2 linked regions of the Sus scrofa genome follow. The protein of the gene in region 2 purifies or fractionates together with the protein of the main gene of each other region. This does not show direct contact. Links are inferred from orthologs where the notes say so. Each region holds a gene or a part of one and is shown on either strand. Other genes may lie near its edges. The genes, in order: FTH1 and NCOA4.

Evidence for each region.
Region 1: the proteins of NCOA4 (region 2) and FTH1 purify together in Homo sapiens (co-immunoprecipitation; 6 studies listed by BioGRID and IntAct, counting the BioPlex papers as one, with this or other methods). This does not show direct contact. The link is inferred for Sus scrofa from reciprocal best matches to the Homo sapiens genes NCOA4 and FTH1.

The regions. Positions count from the first base shown.
Region 1 is NC_010444.4:9,529,327-9,540,764, reverse strand, and holds FTH1 (ferritin heavy chain), read right to left. Parts: upstream 5,715-11,438; 5' UTR 5,425-5,714; coding exon 5,311-5,424; intron 3,794-5,310; coding exon 3,647-3,793; intron 3,333-3,646; coding exon 3,207-3,332; intron 3,109-3,206; coding exon 2,950-3,108; 3' UTR 2,786-2,949; downstream 1-2,785. UniProt on the Homo sapiens protein: Stores iron in a soluble, non-toxic, readily available form. Important for iron homeostasis. Has ferroxidase activity. Iron is taken up in the ferrous form and deposited as ferric hydroxides after oxidation. Also plays a role in delivery of iron to cells.
Region 2 is NC_010456.5:90,524,131-90,535,778, forward strand, and holds the start of NCOA4 (nuclear receptor coactivator 4), read right to left. Parts: upstream 7,173-11,648; 5' UTR 7,158-7,172; coding exon 6,942-7,157; intron 810-6,941; exon of another isoform or gene 1-809. UniProt on the Homo sapiens protein: Cargo receptor for the autophagic turnover of the iron-binding ferritin complex, playing a central role in iron homeostasis. Acts as an adapter for delivery of ferritin to lysosomes and autophagic degradation of ferritin, a process named ferritinophagy.

The sequences.
Region 1 (11,438 bases), on a different chromosome or scaffold from region 2:
TTAAGCTGTAATTAGAATTAGCTCAAGTCTCTCGTTGGTATGAGGAGGGTTCGGAAAAATGACCAGAGGGTCAGGATGGGGGCCTGCTTGGGCCAGAAACATTTCTGAGACTTCCCGTCATGGCACAGCAGAAAGGAATCCGACTAGGAACCATGAGGTTGTGGGTTCGATCCCTGGTCTTGCTCAGTGGGTTGGGGATCCGGCGTTGCTGTGAGCTGTGGTGTAGGTTGCAGACGTGGCTCGGATCTGGTGTTGCTGTGGCTCTGGCGTAGGCCGGTGGCTAAGGCTCCGATTAAGACCCCTAGCCTGGGAACCTCCATATGCCACGGGAGTGGCCCTAAAAAGACAAAAAGAAAAAGAAACATTTCTGGAGGTCGCCTCTGAGTCTCCATGGTGTGTCCTCCAGCAGCTGGGGAGGGTGGGTAACAGAAGAATAACACAGAGGCCTTGTCCCCGCAAAACACGCAATTCAGTGTGGGAATGCAACCCAAGGCCCCAACTCTGCATGCACGGTGCAGAGTATGAGAAGGGGTCAAAGAAAGTCGAGTCAGGCCTTGGGCCTTTGTCCCTCCACTCACCCCCTGGCTTCTTTCCAGTCTGGGTAAGGAGGACATGGAGTTCCAGCCGGAGGAGGAGGAGGAGGCGCACACCGGCATCCTTGGCCACTTCCTGGGGCTGCAATCCAGCGACCACCAGCCCCCCAGGACAAACTCAAAGACGAAACTCCTGTGGCCCAAGAAAGAAGGCCATTTCCACGAGGGCCACCCCAAGAACCTCAGGGGGGCCAGGCTGGACTCTAGCGACCAGGAAGACAGCAAGGCCTGGAGGGAGGGTGGCTTCAAGTCCGCTGCCCTGTGTGGGAGGCCGGGTTACCACAGCGCCCACAGACACCCTCGGCCACACCCCTATGGTCTTCCCACCCGAAGAGTCAGCGCCCTTAGGTCTTCGCAGAGTCTCGGGCATAGATGAGGCTGCCAAAGACCAGAGCCTTCAGCCTGCGACTCCCAGCATCAAGAAGAGTTTCGAGTTGCTCCCAGAGAGCGCCGAGGCCTCGGCGGAGCCCCTACAAGGGAGTCACGTGAGGAGGAAGACGGTGGAGTTTAACCTGGCCGATCTGTCGGAGGCCCCCGAACATCTCAAAGAACCGAATTTGGAGCCACCGATGGGCATACACGCTATAATCAAAGACCACCGGGATCCCTACTGGGCCTTGGAAAACAGGTCTGTCCTCTCCCTGAACCCAGGTCACTGAACCCCCGGGGTTCACCATGGGTGGGAAGCCTGCCTTTCTTCCACGATCTTCCTGTGGTCCTGCAGCTGCTAGGGACCTATGCCCAGCACCGGCTTGGGGCACACACCTGGCTGCCACACAGCAAGGGCCCCAGGGAAGCGCTGGGGACTGTGGCTCATCTCACCCAGGATCCTGACATCACCAGGCCTTCTCTGGGATGATGAGAGGCTGCACTGACAGGAATGCAGCTGAAGGGCCACCAGGCCAGGCTTAGATTGGCAGGATTTTAAGTGGACCCAGCTCACTTAAAGTAGGGGGTAAAGACACAGGAACATGGGCAGAATTGAGGGCTCCCGGCTGTAGCCCAAGAACTCAACTTGCTGGCCAGGCCTAGCTGGGGGGTTGCATGTGAGCCCTCCCCAACAACCACCAGCACTCCTGCAGAGGCCACCACACCCCTGGGAACTGGCCCAAGGTAGGGTGGAGGCATCCAGGTCTCTTGGGGGTATGTTACTGCTTTTGAGACCTCACCAAAAAGACTTCTGAATTTAAGTGAGCTCTTCGTGCTTCCTTTAGGTCAATCCAAAGCTGTGACAGTACCACCACGTTTCCCCTTGTTGCAGGTTCCCTGGACACTCATGCAATGTGTGAGTCCAGCCTGGCCCCCTTGAGGTTCTTGGGGTGGCCCGCGTGGAAATGCCTCCACCATGGAACATTCTAAGGAACTGTGTTAGAGCAAAGCAAAGTTCTTTTTTCTTAGCCCTACCCTCACCCCCAGTCATAATGTGGGAGGAAGTGTAACTTGCTATTTCTAGATTCTGTCATTCTCTGGTCAGAATGCACAGCTTTGTATTGAAAACTGAAACAAACCCACCACCTGTCGTGCTTCTAGGGCTGGACACTGGCTGGGTTAGGAGAGGCTATTAGGGATCCGTGGACAAGGCCACAGATGGCTCTGTAGGCTCCCACCACCACTCTGGTTAATACTCAAGATGCCTCCACCTCTGCCCTCCTACTGCAACAGTTTTTATATTGAAACAAAGCTACCTTTCCATGCTCATGTCAATTTTCTTGAATTCTCACTAGGGATGAAGCACACTCCTAGCCCGTTTCCCAAGGGGGATGCTTCACCGGCCTGGTCCCACCTGCGTGTACACCAGGACACTGATCCAGTCATAGCCATGTGGCTGTCCACACTGAAGAACACGTTCCTGTCAGCCTGAACCAAACAGCTTCGCAGAGAACAAAAATCAGTAGTTTCAAGACTGCTTGAAGCTTTAAAATGCCTTTTGTACATATAAATTTTTAAAGGCAGAACTGCTGGAAACATGTAACACCAAATACCTAATTCAGAACCAGGAGTGCTTAAAATCCTGTCTGAATCCAACACACCCAAGCCTTGGTGTCTTTCCCAAACTAAGGAATTTAATTAGTAAATAGATACAAATCCTCCTAAGCGTTTCATTTTGTTTGTGACTGAACCATGGCACTTACGAATTTACCAGTGATGGCCTAGGTACATTTCTAGCCAATCCCAAGAACTCAGACAACAGCTGGGTACCAAATTACTTTATTTGAAGGAATGGTACACTAAGGAAAGAACTGAAGTAGATGTTCTGGTAGGACTTATAGAAAAGGTGACGGTAACCCGAAACATGCATGCACTGCTTTGGTGACCAGGGGGGTCACCCCGTGTCTCCGGGAGGCCAGCTTAGGGCTTAGCTCTCACTGCTCCCCAGGGTGTGCTTGTCAAAGAGATACTCGGCCATGCCATACTCGGGGGCCCCCATCCTGTGCAAGTTGGTAATGTGGTCACCCAATTCTTTGATGGCTTTCACCTGCTCATCCAGGTAATGCGTCTCAATGAAGTCACACAACTGGAAAAGACAACGGGGAAGAGAGTTACTGGCGAGCCTTCCCAGGCCCCGAGGTAAATGACTTCCTCCTCCTCCTCCCAGGTTGCCTCAATACTCACGTGGGGGTCATTTTTGTCAGTGGCCAGTTTGTGCAGTTCCAGCAGGGACTGATTCACGTTTTTTTCCAAGTGCAGCGCACATTCCATGGCAGTCAGCCCATTCTCCCAGTCATCGCGCTCCGGTTTCTGAACGAGAAGGAGCCAAGTCAATGCACCTGCAGCCTCTACCTTTAAACCCAAGTCAGCAAGCACCTAACGTGTAAGCACTGTGCTTGGCGAAAGGAATATCCAAGCTTCCCCGACAACAGTTTCTATTTTACTATCCTTGCCCGTTACCATCTGCCCACTTTAGACGATAGGCCCACAACAGCACAAAAGCCACAAGCCACAAGCCCAACGTATCTGCGTCTTGATAAGAGCAACTGCTCAGGTCTGTGCCTTCTGCCACCTGAGGAGCGCCAGACACATCAGGCACGACAACCCTGGAATCTTTTGTTCACCTTGATATCCTGAAGGAAGATTCGGCCACCTCGTTGGTTCTGCAGCTTCATCAGTTTCTCAGCATGTTCCCTCTCCTCATGAGATTGATGAAGAAAGTATTTGGCAAAGTTCTTCAAAGCCACATCATCGCGGTCAAAATAGTATGACTGAAAAGTGAAAACAGGAGTCTGTGAGCCTAGGCTTCCTTTCTCAAAGCCCAGCAAGAAGGGGTCTGGGTCTAAGGAGATCAGAGCAGGCTGCGTTGCTGCATCGAACTAAACAGTCATTAGTTCTCACTCCTAAGGGCAAAAATGAAAAATGTTCACAAGGAGCATTTAGAATATCACAGGACTTGCCACCACCATGGAACATCCTCAGGATCTGTGTTAGAGCAAAGTTCTTTTTTCTTTTTTGGCCGCCTCTGGTCTGAGGAAGTTCCCGGGCCAGAGATCAGATGGGAGCCACAGCTGTGACCCTCATGAGAGTTGTGGCAGTGCTGGATCCCTAAAACCACTGTGCCAGGCCAGGGATGGAACCTAAGTCCCAACGCTCCAGACACACCGCCAACCCCATCGCGCCACAGCAGGAACTCCAAAGTTAAATTCTTACAGCCAGTGTCACATCTGGTCGAAGAGAGGAAAGTGGAGTATTTACTCCGCACTATTAGTGCTTCCTCCTTCTCCCTCCTTGATTAATCCATGTTAAAACATGAACTTGCCAGCTTACAGCCAGACCGATGCATTTCTAAAAGTACCCCACTAGGGAAGTAGACGGCTGTGGGCAACAATGTATATAAAGGCATAACAGTAGAAAGCAAAACTGGGTTCTTTTAGACCCTTGCTGGGTGTTCCTGAAATGGAAGGGCAGTCATAGAAATCCAGGCCAGTTCCAAACCCATCTGGTACCTGCCTATTCTTGGATGGTTTACGTAATGGTCAGACAATTCTACAACTCCTACCACACCGCCTAAAACCAGGAATTTGGAAAACTGACCCCTCTATGGAAAAAATGCCGGCCCTGTAACTGTGGATGGACTTTATCCAAGAACGAAGGGTTCGATTAGGCCCCAACCTTTAGACAAAAAGAATAAAGGAGGAGGTAGTCAGGCGCAAGGACGGGTGACTAAGACAACTGTGGCGGAAGGAGAGATTTCTAGAGATGTGCTTCAATTCAAGTGGGACTTGGCGATAAGCAGAGCAAACGGGTGGAGACGGCTGTTCGGGTGGTCAGCCCACTGGAGATAAAGCACTTCACACCAGCCCCCAGGGCTGCTATTCGACACCATTACCCAGCAGGCTCCGCCGTATTCTGGGGGATGGGAGCAGGACCTCTTCGCCTCCGCCCAGGATCACGTGATCGGATGCAGAGGACGGAATGGAAATGCGAAAATCCACCTTCCTAACTGCAGGATGGTACTGGCAGCAAGCGCGGCAAGGAAAAAAAAGGGGGAGGGGGGAGGGGGGTGGGCGGGCAGAGGCAGTCGGCCTACAAAGGGGCACTCCCAGGGGTCAGTCGGAAAGGGCCGACTCCTCGGAATTTCTGCGAAGTCCTGGGGGACCCGGAGCAGCCTCCATTTTCCAGAACCGCGCAGAGGCGGGAGGCGGGAGGCCCCGCCCGCTAGCCACACCCCGCCCCGCCGCCTCCGAGGCCGAGCCCGCCCCCCGCCGGCCAAGCCTGCGCTTACCATGGACAGGTAGACGTAGGAGGCATAGAGCTCCAGGTTGATCTGGCGGTTGATGGCCGCCTCCGAGTCCTGGTGGTAGTTCTGGCGCACCTGCGAGGAGCACGAGGTCGTCATGGCGGGAGGCTGAGGAGCGGTGGTGGCGGCAGCGGCGCGGGAGCGGTGGCGGTGGCCTTGGGGCGGTCCGAGGGCGCTGTGAAGAGGTGGCGAGGGCTGGCTCTGAGCGGCCGGCCGGGGCGGGTGACGAGCGCCGGGTTCCGTCCAAGCACTGTTGAAGCAGGAAACCGCAGCGACTCTCCGCGAAGACTGTGGCGCAGGTAGCGCTGGCCCGGCTCTTATATCGGCATCGGCCGTCCGCCCCGCCGCGGCCAATCACGCCGCCTGCCCGCCGCGCGGAGCCCCGCCCCTTCCGGTGGGTGCGGGCGGGGGTGGGGGGAGGCGCACTGGGATGGTGGGGGAGGGGAGGGAAGGGGTGGGGTGGCGAAGCCTGGGAGTCTTGGAACCCCGTCCCGCGCAGACGCCTTGAGGTGCGTTTCGTGGGATGAGAGAGACGACCTGAGCAAGGGCAGGAAGTCCAGCTCGGGGCTGTGACTCTATGACTCTCGGGGCTCTGACAGCCTGGGTTTTGCAACCGACGGGAAACCTTCCCTGGGGCGTCGAGGCTCTTGCAAGAGCCCAAGCGGGCACCCCGAGACTTATGGCCAAGGTCATGTTAAAAATCAGAGCGGTAGAGCTGCAGTTGCCACACTCCGAGGTGCCTGGTAATGCAAATAGGGAACCCGGAGAGTGAACGTGGGCCCGGAGTGAGGCAGAGGTCGGGCGGGGAAAGGGCCCTCTTTCAATTCCTCAAAACCTAGGAAGGGGCCCAAAGCAGGTGGGGTCGGGCCTCCTCCAGCTCTGGTGGCCCGGTCCGGCTTTGGCCGAAAGTGTACGTGGCTCCTCGTGCAGTTGCTACAACAAAGGCTGGGCGGGTCGTGTTTCCCCGAAAGACTGCCTTCCCGAGGGAGTCGTGAGCCACCAGGGTTCTGAGAAAATCGGCCGGTAGCTTACAACTCAGAGACCAAGGGGGTTAGAAAAGGAGGAAAGAAGCTGCTTGAATCTGAAAAGGATGCTGTGAGGCCATTTTGAAATGGCCGATCAAGCCCCAGGAGCTTCAGGCTCAGGCGGTTCTACAGGGAGCCACCCCCTGGGTTGTCCTTGGAGAGAAGCTGAAGGCGCGGAACATGAAGGACAGATGCCAGAGAACGTGGAGTGGCTGGGGCACTGTGTGTGGCTTGCAGCAGTGTCCCTGGCACTGAGTGGGTGCGAATTCGTGGGTGGCAGAACTGGAGCTAGGCAGACCCAATCTGCTGCCCCCAGGGTCCACGATTCTTAATCAGGCCCTTCAACACGTGGGTAGGGGACCTACCCAAGACCCTTTTCAGGATATTCACAAATGTCCAACTGTAAGCTGTACTTCTAAAAGCTTTACAACAAAAAATTAAAGGAACTTTACTAAAATAGGAAAACAAGTTGCTGGTGGAATTACAGCGATTTCTCTTGGGTCTTTATTCATTTCAAATGTACATATGTTACTTAAGGAAAAAAAATTTTAATGGGGCTAGGGCTGCAGACAAGAAATTAAGAAGGATGATGGGTGAATACCAAGGGTGCCTTACCCAGTCTGGGATAGGAGTTCAAGGAAGGCTGCCCTAAAGAGAGTGACATTTGAGGAGTTCCCGTTTTGGTGCAATGGCTAACGAATCCGACTAGGAACCATGAGGTTGTGGGTTCAATCCTTGGCCTTGCTCAGTGGGTTAAGGATCTGGTTTTGCCATGAGCCATGGTCTAGTTTGCAAATGCGGCTCAGATCCCAAGTTGCTGTGGCTGGGGTGTAGGCTGGCGGCTGTAGCTCCGATTGGACCCCTAGCCCGGGAACCTCCACGTGCTGTACGTGTGGCCCTAAAAAGATAGACAGACAGACAGAAAGAAAATGTGTTGGCCTGAAACTACAGTCCCTATTGGAGAAGTCTGGAAGGGTAGCATGCGGCAAGATCAGGAAGGGTTGGGGGCCCAAAAAAGGGGTTTAACTTTATCCTGAACATGGAAGCTCTAAAGAATATCTAGGAGTTCTCTTGTGGCACAGCAGGTTAAGGACCTGGTGTTGTCACTGCTGTGGCGTGGGTTGGATCCCTGGCCCTGGAACTTCCACAGGCAACAGGCATGGCCAAAAGGAAAAAAGAGACAAGGAAAGAAAGGATTTCTAGCTGGAGAAATACTATGTTTTGTTTTTAGAAACCTTACACTGAATCAACAGAAAAACTTTTGGGATAAGATTATGACAGAGTCACCAGATGCAAAGTTTTCCTATGTAACAGTAACTAGAAGTTAGAAAACATAGTGAAAGAGAAAAATGGCTTTCATTTCCATTGACAACAAAAGCTTAAAGTACCCAGGGATCAAGTTAACAAGAAGTGTGTGAAGAAAACCGTGTTTATTGCTGGACAGAATAACTTGCATAAATGAAGAGACGCCATGTTTCTAGATGGCCAATCTCAGTTTGGGAAAGACTTCCCACACCAACCTGTAAATTCAGGGCAGTTTCTGTAAAACTCAGTGGTCTTTCTGCAATTTGACAAAATGACTCTGAGGTTCACTTGGAAGAGTGTGTAGAAAAGCTGATAAGCATGGGGGGGGGGTTATGAGGGTAGATTTGCCCTCCCTGATACTAAAAAAAAAAAAAGTAGTATAAAATATTTACTTGGTATGGAGTTCCTGTCGTGGCTCAGTGGTTAACGAATCCCACTAAGAACCATGAGGTTGCAGGTTCGATCCCTGGCCTCGCTCAGTGGGTTAGGGATCCGGCGTTGCTGTGAGCTGTGGTGTAGATCGCAGACGCAGCTCGGATCCCATGTTGCTGTGGCTCTGGTGTAGGCCGGGGGCTACAGCTCTGATTCGACCCCTAGCCTGGGAACCGCCATATGCCAAGGGTGAGATCCTAGAAAAGACCAAATAAAATAAAATATTTCATTGGTACTGGTGTAGGAAGAGCTCAGTAAATCAATGCAACTAAATGGTCTAACCCCCATAAGAACAGGAACTTGGTCTGCTAAAGTGGCATTTCAAATTAGGAGAGAAAAAACATTCAACAAATGGTGTTGAAACAATTGAGTCATGTGGGGGAAGATGACTCACTCTGTATTTCAAAATACCTTTCAGAGGGATTAAAGGTCCAAGCCTTAAAAACAACCTATAAAGTTATTCGAAGGCTATGTATAAGATTACCTTTTAGAACAGTGGGGTAACGAGTATTCTTCTGAGGCTGTCAAAAGCCATAAAAAGAAGGCAGTTGGCGGATGTGATTACTTAAAAATGAAAAATCATGGTGAATGATCGGTTTGGCAACACGGAGGGTGGGAGACTTTGGGCTGCGGGGGAGCCAGAGTGACCCCTACCCGCCCCCCCAGCCCGTCCCCGCCAACACACGCACCTCCCTGGAGACGATGCCCAAACACAAAGAACCAACTATAGAACTGGCTGGAAGAAAAAAGGCCAAGTCTTCAGAATATAAACCATTTGCCAAAGCAAAGAATATCAATGACACTGTGATTCCTGAAAGAGCTCCGAAAGGTAACACATTGCAAAGCGGAACGTACTAGAGCACCGTGGTTATTAGGTGCATTTGATTACAGGAAAGAAATGAATTTAAAACAGAACTGGCCTCTTTGCAAGTGGAAAGAAGAGGAAAAGAGGGAATCCAAAATTTCTGGGACTTGTATTGAAGTTAGAACACTTGGTCTTTTTCAACCAGTAAAAAATAAAATCCGGAAATATTTTGAGGGAGTTCCCTCATGGCTCAGCCTGTTACAGATCCCGTGTTGTCACTGCTGTGGTGCAAGTTTAGACTCCTGGCCTGGGAATTTCTGCATACCGTGGGCGCAGCCAAAAAACAAACGAACAAACAAACAAGAAATACTTTTGAGTAACAAAGGCTGATTAAGGTGAAGCCTCAGGGTAAGGACCAAATCAAGGGCATGGCTGTCACACTGTTAAAATATATGAATACATTAAGGCAGTCTCTAGTAAGTTCTTTCAGTTGGACAAAGCACTCAGGGAAAAAGAACAAAGGGTGTGATCCCTCATAAGCTTGATAAATTCAAAATATGTAGAGTTACATCTTTGAGAAAGGCATTCTAGGAAAAAAAAATTTTTTTTTTTCGTCTTTTTAGGGCCGTATAGATGTTCCCAGGCTAGGGGTTGATTCTGAGCTATAGCCACTGACCTACACCACAGCCACACCACCACCAAATCCTAGCCACATCTGTACAACCTACACCATAGCTCACCACCACACTGGATCCTTAACCCACTGAGCAAGGCCAGGCATCGAACCTGTGTCCTCATGGATGCTGGTCAGATTCGTTTCCAAGAGCCAGGACAGAAACTCCTTAGAAAAGAATTTTGAGGGGTTCCCATTGTGGCACAGTGGAAATGAATCGGAGTAGAAATCCTGAGGTTGCGAGTTCGATCTTTGGCCTCGCTCAGTGGGTTAAGGATCTGGCATTGCTGTGAGCTGTGGTGTAGATTGCAGAAGCGGCTTGGATCCTACGTGGCTGTAGCTGTGGCTGTGGTGTAGGCTGGCACCTATAGCTCCGATTTGACCCCTAGCCTGGGAACCTCCATCTACCGTGGGTGCAGCCCTAAAAAAGCAAAAAAAAAAAAAATTTTAATATAGTTACTGGGCTGTGAAGCTGACTGGAATCAAGTAAAAAGCCAACAAAATTAATCTTTTCTTTGCAAAAAATGAGTGATTTAACTTTTTAAAATTAGGGTAAATTAACATAAATACAATGCAGAATCTTAGTTGTTTCATTAAATGTATGTTGATAACTTGCATATAGCTTTAACAAGATGCAGTCTTTCTGTTATCCCAGAAAGTTTCTTTGTATCCCTTTCCAGTCTTGCTGGAACCCTTCAAGACAGCCACTCTTCTGATATATTTCAGTATTGATTAATTAACTTTGGGTGTTCTAGAATTTCTTTTATTTATTTATTTATTTATTTATTTGCCTTTTTCTGGGGCCGATCCCGCGGCATGTGGACGTTCCCAGGCTAGGGGTGGAATCAGAGCTGTAGCCACCGGCCTATGCCAGAGCCACAGCAACGGGGGATCCGAGCCGCATCTGCGACCTACACCAGAGCTTACGGCAACGCCGGATCCTTAATCCACTAAGCGAGGCCAGGGATCGAAGCTGTGTCCTCGTGGGTGCTAGTCAGATCCATTAACCACTGAGCCATGACGGGAACTCCAAAGATCCCTTTGGATTGTCTTCCCTGCTACCATAAGATCCTGGAGGGGCAGGCATTGGTTCTGTCTTCATACACTTAAATGCAAAAAAGCGTCTTCATACACTTGATAACACAAATTGGGAGATCCCGTCATGACACAGTGGAAATGAATCCGACTAGGAACCATGAGGTTACAGGTTCAATCCCTGGCCTCGCTCAGTGGGTTAAGGATCTGGCGTTGTTGCCCTGAGCTGTGGTGTGGGTCGCAGACGCGGCTCAGATCCCACGTTGCTATGAGCTGTGGTGTAGGCTGGCAGCTGTAGCTCCGATTAGACCCCTAGCCCGAGAACTTCCATATGCCTCGGGTGCAGCCCTAAGAAAAAGAAAAAGAAAACCACAAAATGCACTTAAAGCATTTTGTAAGAAGCTTGTAACTTGGTGCTGAGTATTTGTTGAATGGACTGATAAATGCCTGAGTGACTGTGGAGTAGGTGTTAAGTTGGACAATAGGGCTGGGTACCTGTTAGGAGGTGACCGCCCCGGTTTTCAGTGAGCAAAGGAGACAGAAAGCAGATTTGAAAGTGATGGAGAGGACAGAACAGGCAGGACGAGGTGACTGACGGGTGAGGTGGGGGTGGGAGGAGGGCAAGAGAGGCCCCAGCGTTCGGGCTGCAATAGCTGGGTTGCTGTGGCCACGAGGATGGGCAACCAGGAGGAGGAGAGGCGGCTGAGGAAGGCTAGCTTGGTTTTGGACTGGATGTACGGAGTTTGTGTGTGTGTAGAATGAAAGGAAAGTCTTGTGCTGGTGTGTGTGTGTGTGTGTGTGTGCGTGCGTGTCTGCTTGGGCCTGTTCCACACCTTCT
Region 2 (11,648 bases):
GTGAGAGCAAAGCAAAACCACTTGACAAAAGCAAAGGCCACCAGACACTAAAGACCATCACCCTGAATTAAGCATTCCTCAGAGTTCAGATGAATCTGAAATGGAAGCTCCTGTTTTAACTGTGATGCACAGTTTCTGGGATCCCTTTTCAGATATTCACCACCGAAAATGAGAAAATAATGTCTCTCTTAATTCAATATATTTTCATTGGATAACATACTTCATGAAGATACAAAAAAAGCTAGACATCTCTGAATGATGAAAGTTAAATTCTGATGGCCCTTTGTATTTTGTCAATGGCTAGAAAGAAGGAATTCTGTCTATAAAAACATAATTAATGTCAAAACTGTCATCTCTCTTTCATATGTTCCAACAAAATAGTCACAATGTAAACTGAGAAAGAACTTTGTTGACCATCACCTATATATAACCAGTGGTCTCTATGTCCTCTCTAAAGGATCCTGACCAGTGCCACAGCACGCTAAATGCTCCAGCTCTCCTTCACTTGAACTAATTTATACAGTTACTGAGATTCAGTGTTATTCCGTCAGTTTATGACAGCTTTAGCTGTTACTATAATGACATGATTTATTAAATAATGTATAAACATAAAAAGACTGGAAAGGGGAAAAAATCATAAAAATCTAGAAGAATTCTGCATTCAGACCACTTTGCAGGCACTTCTTTACTCCCTTAAGTTCCATTATTTGCCCTTACAATTTTATGAAAAGTTTAGTTTCTAAAGAGGGAAAAAGTCATATGGCATTTTACCTCTCTTCTGCTTCAAGATTTCTGTGCTGGAGTTCCCGTCGTGGTGCAGTGGTTAACGAATCCGACTAGGAACCATGAGGTTGCAGGTTCGGTCCCTGCCCTTGCTCAGTGGGTTAACGATCCGGCGTTGCCGTGAGCTGTGGTGTAGGTTGCAGACGCAGCTCGGATCCCGCACTGCTGTGGATGTGGTGTAGGCCGGTGGCTACAGCCCCGATTAGACCCCTAGCCTGGGAACCTCCATATGCCGCGGGAGCGGCCCAAGAAATAGCAAAAAGACAAAAAAAAAAAAAAAAAAAAAAAGATTTCTATGCTATCTCAAAACAAGAGAATCATCCATTTCCTAGTAGATTAGTAGATCATCTCATCTAAAGACAGCATAAACTACAATTCTCCAGTGTCTCCCCACCTGTCTACAAGTCCAAATAAATTTCTTTAATAAATAAAGTTGTCTACAGAGTTCTCGTCATGGCGCAGGGGTTAACGAATCCGACTAGGAACAATGAGGTTGCGGGTTCGATCCCTGCCCTTGCTCAGTGGGTTAACGATCCAGCGTTGCCGTGAGCTGTGTAGGTCACCGATGCAGCTCGGATCCCACATTGCTGTGGCTCTGGCGTAGGCTGGCAGCTACAGCTCCGATTAAACCCTTAGCCTGGGAACCTCCTTATGCCGCAGGAGTGGCCTAAGAAATGGCAATAAAAGACAAAAAAATAAAAAAATTAAAAAAAAAATAAAGTTGTCTGGCTTCTGGCTTCAGCCTGCTCTCTTGCTATTTCCTCAGAGCAACCCCATACCGTGATCTTCTGGACAGCTGTTCCATGCATAGTCCAGGCTGGTTCGCCATGTCCACCTTGGCTTTCCCAGCTCTCTCTGCCAGCAATGCCAGTTCCTTCCCTTCTCCCCACCTGTCTGCTTTTCCACCGATGCTTAAGTCACCACATTATTAAGCCTTTCCTGACCAAGCATCTCACTCCTCAATACTTTGGGCAAATAGAGTTAGCTGCTGCCTCCTCTGGCCTCACTGTAATCTGTATAAGTTTCCAGCATACGTGTATAACATATGTTACCCTCACTTTACATGTCTGCCTCCTTAGCCTGAGAGGTCCCAGAGAGAACCAACCATGCATTATTTGCCTATGTACACCCTAGTGCTCAACAAACAGGTACAGGTATCTTGGAACTACCAACCTCCTTGACATTCTATGCACTCTACTGAACTGACATAAAGAGAATGGCATCCCTGGAGCTGTGCAGTGCTGTAGCCCTCAACTCACCAGAGGCTTAATATGTGTTTGATAAATGGATGGATGAATAAATGATAAATGAATGCTCAAGTTCAGACCAGCCACAATAAGGATAGTATGGTTCTGCTTCAAATGTAAGTAATCAACTTGATGTTCCACTAAGGTCTGCATTAATTCAGAAAGGTTTTTCAGAGGTGGAAATGTTTCTAACATTAACTGTAACTTATAGTTTTCTTTCAAAGATAAAGCTAGCAAGGATATTGCTACTGAAACTACCATTCCAGGACAGGCATTGAGATAGTGTCTTTCCTGAAGCCAGACCCATCAAAGCTCATCGATACAGATTCACAAACAGCAGCTGATTTGTGAGTTAAAAGGGAAACATTAACTGTATTTACAGCCAAGTCTGGATTTTTTTTCCCTCAGAGTTTGCAGTACCACAGAAATTCCAGCTGACATTACAGAAGTCTGGTAGGCTTTCATAACTTGGGCTATGCCTTATCTTCAACTTGACACTTCTTCATAATACAGCCAAGGTTACATAAACATGTTATTTATCTACCACCACAGTAATATTTTATTCTTGACTTTATATGGTAAGCATCTTGTAGTTTTCCCCCATAGGAGTAAGCAAGTGATAAAATATTTCCCCTCCTCTAAAGCCTAGGGGACTAATAATAAAGCCAAAATGAAACTCAAAATATCCCCAAGATCATATTCTTATGAAATTTTTAATTACCCAAGTATGAAAATACTTCTTGTCTTTGATCAACCCACAATAAAAACCTTTTAATCTATTTTTCCAGTTACTCACTCCTTCACTGAACAAATCTTCACGTTTGTAGAGCACTCGAGGCAATGCTAGATAAGAGGACTATTTGGCCTCAAAAGTGCCCCCAGGGAGTTCCCTGGTGGCTCAGAGGGTTAAAGAGCTGGTGCTGTCACTGCTGTGGCTATTTACTGCTGTGCTGTGGGTTCAACACCTAGTCCAGGAACTTGTGCATGTCACAGGCATGGCCAAAAAGAGAAAAGTGCCCCCCAAACATACTCCTAGCCTCAAAGAACATCTTGATTCTACTGCATAATGAAGCCAAGCAAAATCAGGGATGATGACTTAGGATAAGAATGGCTAAGAGAGTTAGAATGAAGCGTTCGTATCAGAAGCTAAGTAAAATGAACACCCTCAGAATAACTTTCTGTTTACTTGCCAGTGACTCTATCTAGTTCAAAGAGTGAGGATGACACCCCAGGATCTGAGGTATTATAGGCAAGGTGGAAAGTTTGTAAACTTGACTATAATGTTACAATTTAACAAGCAAAGAGGACAAGCTGAGAAGGACTATATGGCAGCTCCTCTAACTGACAAGTATAGAAACACTATTAAAGCAATTCATCAGAGCAAAAGTGGTCAGCTTGGTCCCCTATCAGCCTAGGCCATCTGCTTGTTCCTGTCTTCTATGTTGCAATAGTGTACTTAGACACACAAATACTGAAAACAAAGCCAAAATGAAAACCCAGAATAAAGTTTTAAGAGGACCAAAAAAGTAGCATTAAGAGTAATAAAACTAAGGTTCCCCGTCCTGGCTCAGGAGAAACGAATCTGACTAATATCCACGAGGAAGGACGCAGGTTCAATCTATGACCTGGCTCAGTAGGTTAAGGATCCGGTGTTGCCATGAGCTGTGGTGTAGGTTGCAGACACAGCTAGGTTCTGGAGTTGCTGTGGCTGTGGTGTAGGCCAGCAGCTACAGCTCTGATTCGACCCTTAGCATGGGAACTTCCATATGCCGAGGGTGCAGCCCCCAAAAAAAAGACCAAAAAAAAAAAAAAAAAAGTAATAAAACTCCCATAGAATCTAGAATCTACAGTTCCTTCAGTTAACTGAACTTAACCTAATACATATATGTTGGTTGGTCTCTTATTATAATCACTTTAGACTTGCAACCTAACCAGTTTGTATCCAGGGACAGAGTTCACTGACTTCAGTAACACTGAGAAAGTGCTCTCCATTCCAGTAGTACATTCCACTGTGTATCCTGCATAGTGACAAGTTCTTGTTCTCTGAGTCTGAGTATAGTTTTCTGGAAAGAGTCAAAGATTAATATATGCAAACCACTTACAATAGTGCCTGACACACAGTAAGAGATATAGATATTAGCTATTTTCATTACTTTTGATAAGAGAATGGGGTATGATAATAAAGCAAGACATTTTAGGTAGTTCATCAGTGAAATAAGTCACCCTCATCTCTCTCCAGTGTTCCTGCAGAAACTTCATTACTGCTGCCCACTCCTCCTCTCCTATGCTCACTCAGTCCAGTCACAATGGCCTCTTTGCTGCTCCTCCAACATACCAATGATGCCTCATGGCCCTGGCATTTTCCTCCAGATATGGTGCACTCTCCTTCTCATCCTTAGAGTAATCTTCTTCACTATCCCATATGAAATAAGTCTTCCTTCCACATATTCCCCCTTAATATATTTTTTAACTACCTTCATAGTATTTTTCACAATCAGACATGTAGAAACTATCTATTTTTCTAAACGCACTTCAGAAAACACACTGGAAGGTATGTTCCACACAAGTTGGACTTTCTCTTTTTGTTCATTTTTATTTTTATTTTTTGGCCTTTTAATTTTTTTGTCTTTTTAGGGCTGCACCCGCAGCATATGGGGAGGTTCCCAGACTGGGGACCGGTCGGAGCTGTAGCAGCCGGCCTACATCACAGCCACAGCAACTCAGGATCCAAGCTGCGTCTGCAACCTATACCACAGCTCACGGCAACAGCAGATCCTTAACCCACTGAGTGAGGCCAGGGATCAAACCCGAGTCCTCATGGATGCTAATGGGGTTTGTTAACTGCTGAGCCACACAAGGAATTCCTCTTTGTATTCATTTTTATACAGTGGTGTTCAGTAAATATTTGTTGGAAAAATGAATTCAGGAAGTATTTAATATATCTATGTGCCAAACTTTTATTTTTACACATTATCTCATTTAGTCCTCACAAAACTTTAAGGTACTTATACATTATCCATCACAATTTTAAAAACAAAGAAACTACGGCTTGACAAGGTTAGATATATTACTTAGAGTCACAGGCTTCCAAGTAAAAGAAGCAAGATTTAATCCTAGATTTGAGTCTAAAGTCTCCAACCACACTATGTTTGTTGAAGGGATCATTTAAGTACTAAGATTTTAGGCATTCATTCAACAAATATTTACTGAGTGCCTCATACTGTGATAGTCCCTGAGGATATAAGCATCTAGAGGAAAATTTGTGCCACTGATTCACCAAAAACTAAGAAAAAAAAGGAAACTTTGAAATAAGAGACAGATTTAGAAGTCCTTCTGCAACAATGACTGGTTCTGACTGCCCTCCAGTATGCTAACACTTACTCTACAAGGGAAATTATCATACAACACTAGCTAAGAAGCTGGGGTGGAGGAACGTGTTATCAGAATAGCCTGTGCAGTTTTATGAAGCCCCTCCACAGGTTTCTGAGATTCTGGCACAGCTAAACTGACTTAATCTTAATAAAATGGGGGTGAGGCAGGGAGCCTTATGTAATTCTAAAATAAGAACTCTTCTCCCTCTTTGAGAATCACATCTTCCTTTCCCTACATAGCTTACCATACTTCTCCACTTTTGAAATACCTGTAATGTAACTGTAGAAGTTTATTTAGACACAAAATACAGTATCATAAAACTTTAGATCATTTTCACAAAAGTTCCATAGAGAAAGGGGAAGGAGAAATAAAATGTAAGAAATGTTACTGTGCTAGCCTTTACATATATCATCATACCTACTTAACAAATCTGCAAGCTAGCAAACTTTGAAAGAGCAACCAAGTAACTTGCCTGAAGGCACATGCACCACACCCTCACCTCCATTTGGGTGAGTCTTCCTCAAAGGCTCCGAGGTTTTTTAAAGTTCAGAAATGTCACACCAAGACATTTTTGCAGAAATGAACCAATTATGATTTCCTGCCCCATCCTAACCCAGTAAGGCTCAACAGTCCCTACAACCATATGTCCGTATTATCAGGTGGGCGGTGGAAACAGTTACGCGATGGGGAACCTTACCCTGATTAGGAAAAAAAAAAAAAAACACAAAAAGGCGAAAAAAGCTCTGCCTTTGTGGGTCAAATAGCCTGCAGCTCTCTGCCTTTGGCCATTCTTGATCGCATCATCCCATGTTGTATCATGTGGCACTTAAGACTATTTATGAATATTGTTTCTGCTACAAGAATTTATTTCCATGAGAATAAGGTCTGTGCCCACTCTTTTTTCATTGCCATATCCTCAACATCCTGAACATATAGGCACACTATAAGTGACTGTTGGTGGAACTGGCAAGCCTCGCTCTTCTCAGCTATAAAAAGGAGGTAATCAAGCTACCTCTTGGTATTGTTGGGCGAATTACATTCACCTTACAGTAAAACACTGTGTTGGCAGGTAGAGGGCCGAAAAAAATATTATCTTCTTTGAGCTCCCACCCAACAGGCTATGTTCTGGAAAATGGGCCTCTCCCCTCTCCAAAAGACCCAGGCGAGAGCGAGCAAAAACCTGAAGCTGTCACACCCGGGGCGCGGGGGGGAAGGCGGGCGGACAAGCAGGGGGAGGTGGTCCCCAGGCCAGCTTGTCTAAGGCCGAAGAGGCGGAGGACAGGCCGGGGCCGGGAAGGGAGAAAGAAGTGGTCCTCGGGCCAAGAGAGGCGAGGGCCGGGGAGAGAACAGGCCCTGGCCGGCGGGCAGGCAAGAAGACGTGGCCCCCGGGTCGGGCGGGTCTAAGGAGAGGCCAGCCTTTAAAGGTAGGCCCAGACAGGGCCGGGCTGGTCCAACAAGCAGTCATGGCTCCCCAAACCGACCCGCCACGTGAGAGCGGTAGGAGGCAAGCTCGCCCCGGGGCCCCCCTCCGGTTCTTACCACCTCTGAGCGCGGCTCCCGGCGATCCGAGGAGACCTTGGCGGACTGAGACGCGGCCCAACACGAGCCAAGGTCTGAAAGGCAGAGTTCTCGCGAGAACACAACCTTCTTCTCAAGTCTCTTATCACAAATTTGACAGTCTCGCGAGATCTCTACTAGGGTCTGCCCAAGGTCCTTGCCTGCCCTCCACAGGGCGCAGGGGGTAGGCGCATACATTTTCCTGGGCCCCAAAGAATAAGATTAAAGGAGAGAAACGTTTGTGAAGGCAAGCTGTTAGGAGGACTATCCTGAGTGATTCTCTCACACCAAATGTCCTCACGATGTAGATATTTTTTTAGCCTTAACGTACATATGCAGAAGTAAATGTCAGAAACAAAAGGACAAATAGATGATTCCGTTTATATGAGGTACTTAGAATAGTCATAGTTATAGAGACAAAATAGTAGTTGCCACAGGCTTGGGGAAGAGGAATTATTGTTTAATGGGTACAGACTTTTAGCTTGGGATGATGGGAAGTTCTGGGTATGGATAGTCACACAGCAATTCGAATGTACTTAGTACCACTCAACTGTATACGTAAAAATGGTTAAAATGGTTATATATATGTAGTGACCAGATATTAAAATAAGAACCTTTCTGTCCCAGTTTTGACAGAGGTTCCCATTACTAACTAAGTGCTACCCAGCAAGGTGAAAGACCATCTGAGTAGGATTTGTGAAGGAGATGATCATAAAAGTGCAGCCTCTCACCCAAGAACATCAGCGGGCAAGGCTCTCTCAGCAAAAAGCAATAGGAAACATAGGTTTAGATGCACACGCTAAAAGGGCAGTCATAGGCATAGCATACTTTTAAAGCTCCTGTTCCTCATTCCTTCTTCAATTCAAATGCAGATTCTGGAACAAGGCGACTTTTTTTTTTTTTTTTTTTTTTTTGCTTTCTAGGACCACACTTGTGGCATGTGGAAGTTCCCAGGCTAAGGGTTGAATCAGAGCTGCAGCTGCGGGCCTACATCACAGCCACAGCAACGCAGGATCTGAGCCGCATCTGCGACCCACACCACAGCTCATGGCCACAATGGATCCTTAACCCACTGAGCGAGGCCAGGAATCGAACCTCATGGACAATAGTCAGGTTTGTTACCACTGAGCCATGACGGAAACGCCAAAGGTGCATTTTTATTATCTTAGGGTGACCAAAATCCAGGATATGCCTAGATTGTTCAACTAGCCCACATAGCATGTTTGCATAGGTAGGGTTATCGGGCAGAGGGGAAGTAAAATCTCTTTACCGATTGCCCACAGATTGTCCAACAGAGAACTGTTTGCTTGTTTGTGATCTGTCACATACACACACACACACAACTCTAAGCTTCAGGAGAGCAGAGACCTGGTCTCTCTGGTTCAGTACTGTATCCCCAGGCCCAAAGCACTGCCAGGCACTTAGTAAAGACCTCTTCAGTGAACAAACGTTCTCTAACACAGAAAGAGCACGAGATGATCAGCGTTGTCACTGTTTTAACTCCCTAAATTTTAAAAACCATTACAGAGCTCTGCCTGCAAGCCGTTTCCCATCCACAAGGCAAGATCCCTGGCTTTTTAACACCCCATTGGGCTGTATGTGCTCTTGGAGGCACTTCTTCCAGGTTGTCCTGCTCTAACCTCAGGCAAACACAGATGTATATGAGGGACACAGCAAGGAGGACACTCTCTGAAGAACAAAAAGGAAGGGTAAAAAAGAAAACCTCAAAGAAAATAAAGGATCTGATTTCATCTCAAAGACCCATTTTTTTGAATTGTTCACCAAATAATGGGATGCTGGGGCATCAGAGTGAAGATATATCAGAAGCGAGAGAAGTAACAGCAGCCCTCTGAGTAGGGGATGCTCAGTGATCTACTGGCGTGGAGGGAAGATGTTATATCTTTCATTCACATTTATTTTTGTCTCCTTTAAAATGTTTGCATGCTTTAAAGGTGTGTTATATAAATGCATACATAATTTATAAATTAAAAGTACAGACATATTCAAGTGTTTGCTCAAGAATTTTTTACTAATAGGTAGGGTTGTACAATCATAGACAGTTAGAGGCCATAGGAGAATGAGGCCTGGCATGGGAGAACTTGGGCCCTCTCAGGCTGAGAGCTCTGGGCCCACTAGAAACACATTATAATACCCATCCAGTGACATCACAGGTCTTTCCTGGGTCCTTCTTTTCCACCACTGTATAGGTGCAGGTCTTCTTGTTCAAGATTTTCTGACACTTATTTGTGTCATAACCCGTAGGTATGGCAGCACTGTCATTGAGACAAGAATAAGAACTGTTAGAAGGAATAGGATGCCCAGCCTTCCCAGGGCCAGCTCTGTGCTGGAAGCAGCCCACAGTCTAGGTCCCTGGAATGCCCCCCACCAACTAAAGGTCACCCCTTGACTGGCACCCCAAGGTACCACCTTCAGGACCCTGCATCCAAATACAGATAACCAGGGCTATGAACACAGACCTCCCAGACATTATTGCTATATTCCACCCCTGCACACACAGGACTGTGGCAAGTTCTGACAGGCCCAGAAGTAGGTCTGAGCTCCTCTGAGGCCAGGCAGCTTGCTCCAGCCTGACTCTTCTTACTTTCCCTGCTCAAGAGGTAGCCAACAGTACTACTGCTTAAATATGGGACAGAATTGGTTGTCCCAACCCTGACATGAAGGAGCTGGCTCAGCTCCAGATAGGGACCTTATGTGCTCAGTCACTCCAGGTAGGGACCACAGAGCCCAAGGAGAAGCTGATGAAGACTGAAAACGAGCTCCCCAGGAAAATAAACCCACACATTCAAGGCTGCAAACAATTTTACGGCTCCACTTTCCCCCTGAAACTCATCCATAAAACCCAGATTAAATTGTCCATCCCCAAAGTATACACTGAACAGCCATCCCAAGGCCCTTTGTGACAAATGCTTCCTTCCAAAAGGTGACCCTCGATTACTTTAACAAAAGAGGACTTTTCAATCCTCATCCCAAAGGGAGGACTGGAAGAAGCTTTCCCAGGGTACTTGGGGTGGGTGGCTAGAGCAACCTGGGCCACCAGTCTCAGGCTCAATTGCCACTGGGCAGCTTGAGATCTGAACAGTGTCCCCAAGAGAGTACAATGGGTTAAGAAATTCTCCCATAGAAAATTTAACCAAAAAATGTATTTGGCTATTGTTAAAAACAAATTATGAGAAAAACTTGGTAGGTGATGAGGAAATTATGAGGGAAAGAAACTGGCAGCTCTGAGCAGTACAGAAAATGTGCACATTTCCTCTGCGTGGAGCAGTGTGCTAAGCAGGAAAGGAAACATGACAGGAAAGAGGGAAGGGGCTCTTTGGGCCCCAACTAGGAGTCAGTTACTGTCCCAGGCTCAAGAGACATATAGCTGGCATTGAGAAGGCATCAATTTTTTTTCTTTATCTTTTTAGGGCCACACCTGCAGCATATGAAGGTTCCCAGGCTAGGGGTTGAATCTGAGCTGTAGCGCAGGCCGACGCCAGAGCCATAGCAACCCGGGATCCGAACTGCATCTGTGACCTACATCACGGTTTGTGGCAACACCAGATCCTCAACCCACTGAGCAAGGCCAGGGATTGAACCCGCGTCCTCATGGATGCTAGTCAGATTCATTTCCACTGAGCCATGACAGTAACTCCTGAATAGTGTTTCAATGAATGTATATTTTCAAAAAATGTTTCACTGTGTGTGTATACATATTTACATATCCTCTAAATTTCCAAAAATAATGTTTTACTATATATATATATACATAGTATTTCACTATATACATACATATATACACAGTAATATGTATACCATATTTCACCGTAAATATGTATATATATTCGGTGAAATGAAATGTTATTCAGTCTTTAAAAGGAGGGAAATTCTGAGACATGCTATAACTTGGATGATCCTTGAGGACATTATACTGAAATATACCAGTCTGAGGATTCAGAATGAGTCTCCCTAAAATGTGCCACTTTTGCATGAGCATTATTTTGAGCTACAAGCAATAGACAGCCTGCAGATTTAAAAGAAATTACTGCCCACCAGCCCACTATCTAGTAAGAATTTAAATTGAGGATTCTTCCCAGAAAAGAGTTATTGCCAGAGATAAATTGTACCTAAGTGGCTGCATGTATATGTCAGGGTAAACATCTAATTACCTAGAAGAACCTAGAAGGGAAGAGGAAAGTTTTTTTTCTTCCTGATACCAGTCATAAAAGGACAAATATTGTACAATTCCACTGGGGTTGTCAAATTCATAGAGACAGAGAGTAGAATGGTGGTTGCCAGGGCCTGGTGGGAGAAGGAGATGGAGAGTTGTTTAATGGACATGGAGTTTTAGATTGGGAAGAGGAAACAGTTTTGGAAATGGATAGTGGAGATGGTTGCACAAACTGGTGAATGTACTTAATACCACTGGAACTTTACTTTTAAAAATGGATAAAGTGCTTAATTCTATATAATGGGGGATTCTTTTTAGGGCTGCACCCACAGCATATGGAGGTTCCCAAGCTAGGGGTCAAATTGGAGATACAAGTGCCGACCTACACCATAGCTCACAGAAGGCCAGATCCTTAACCCACTGAGTGAGGCCAGTGATAGAACCTAAGACCCCATGGTTACTAGTCAGATTCATTTCCACTGTGCCACAAGGGGAATTCCACCACAATTTTTTTAAAA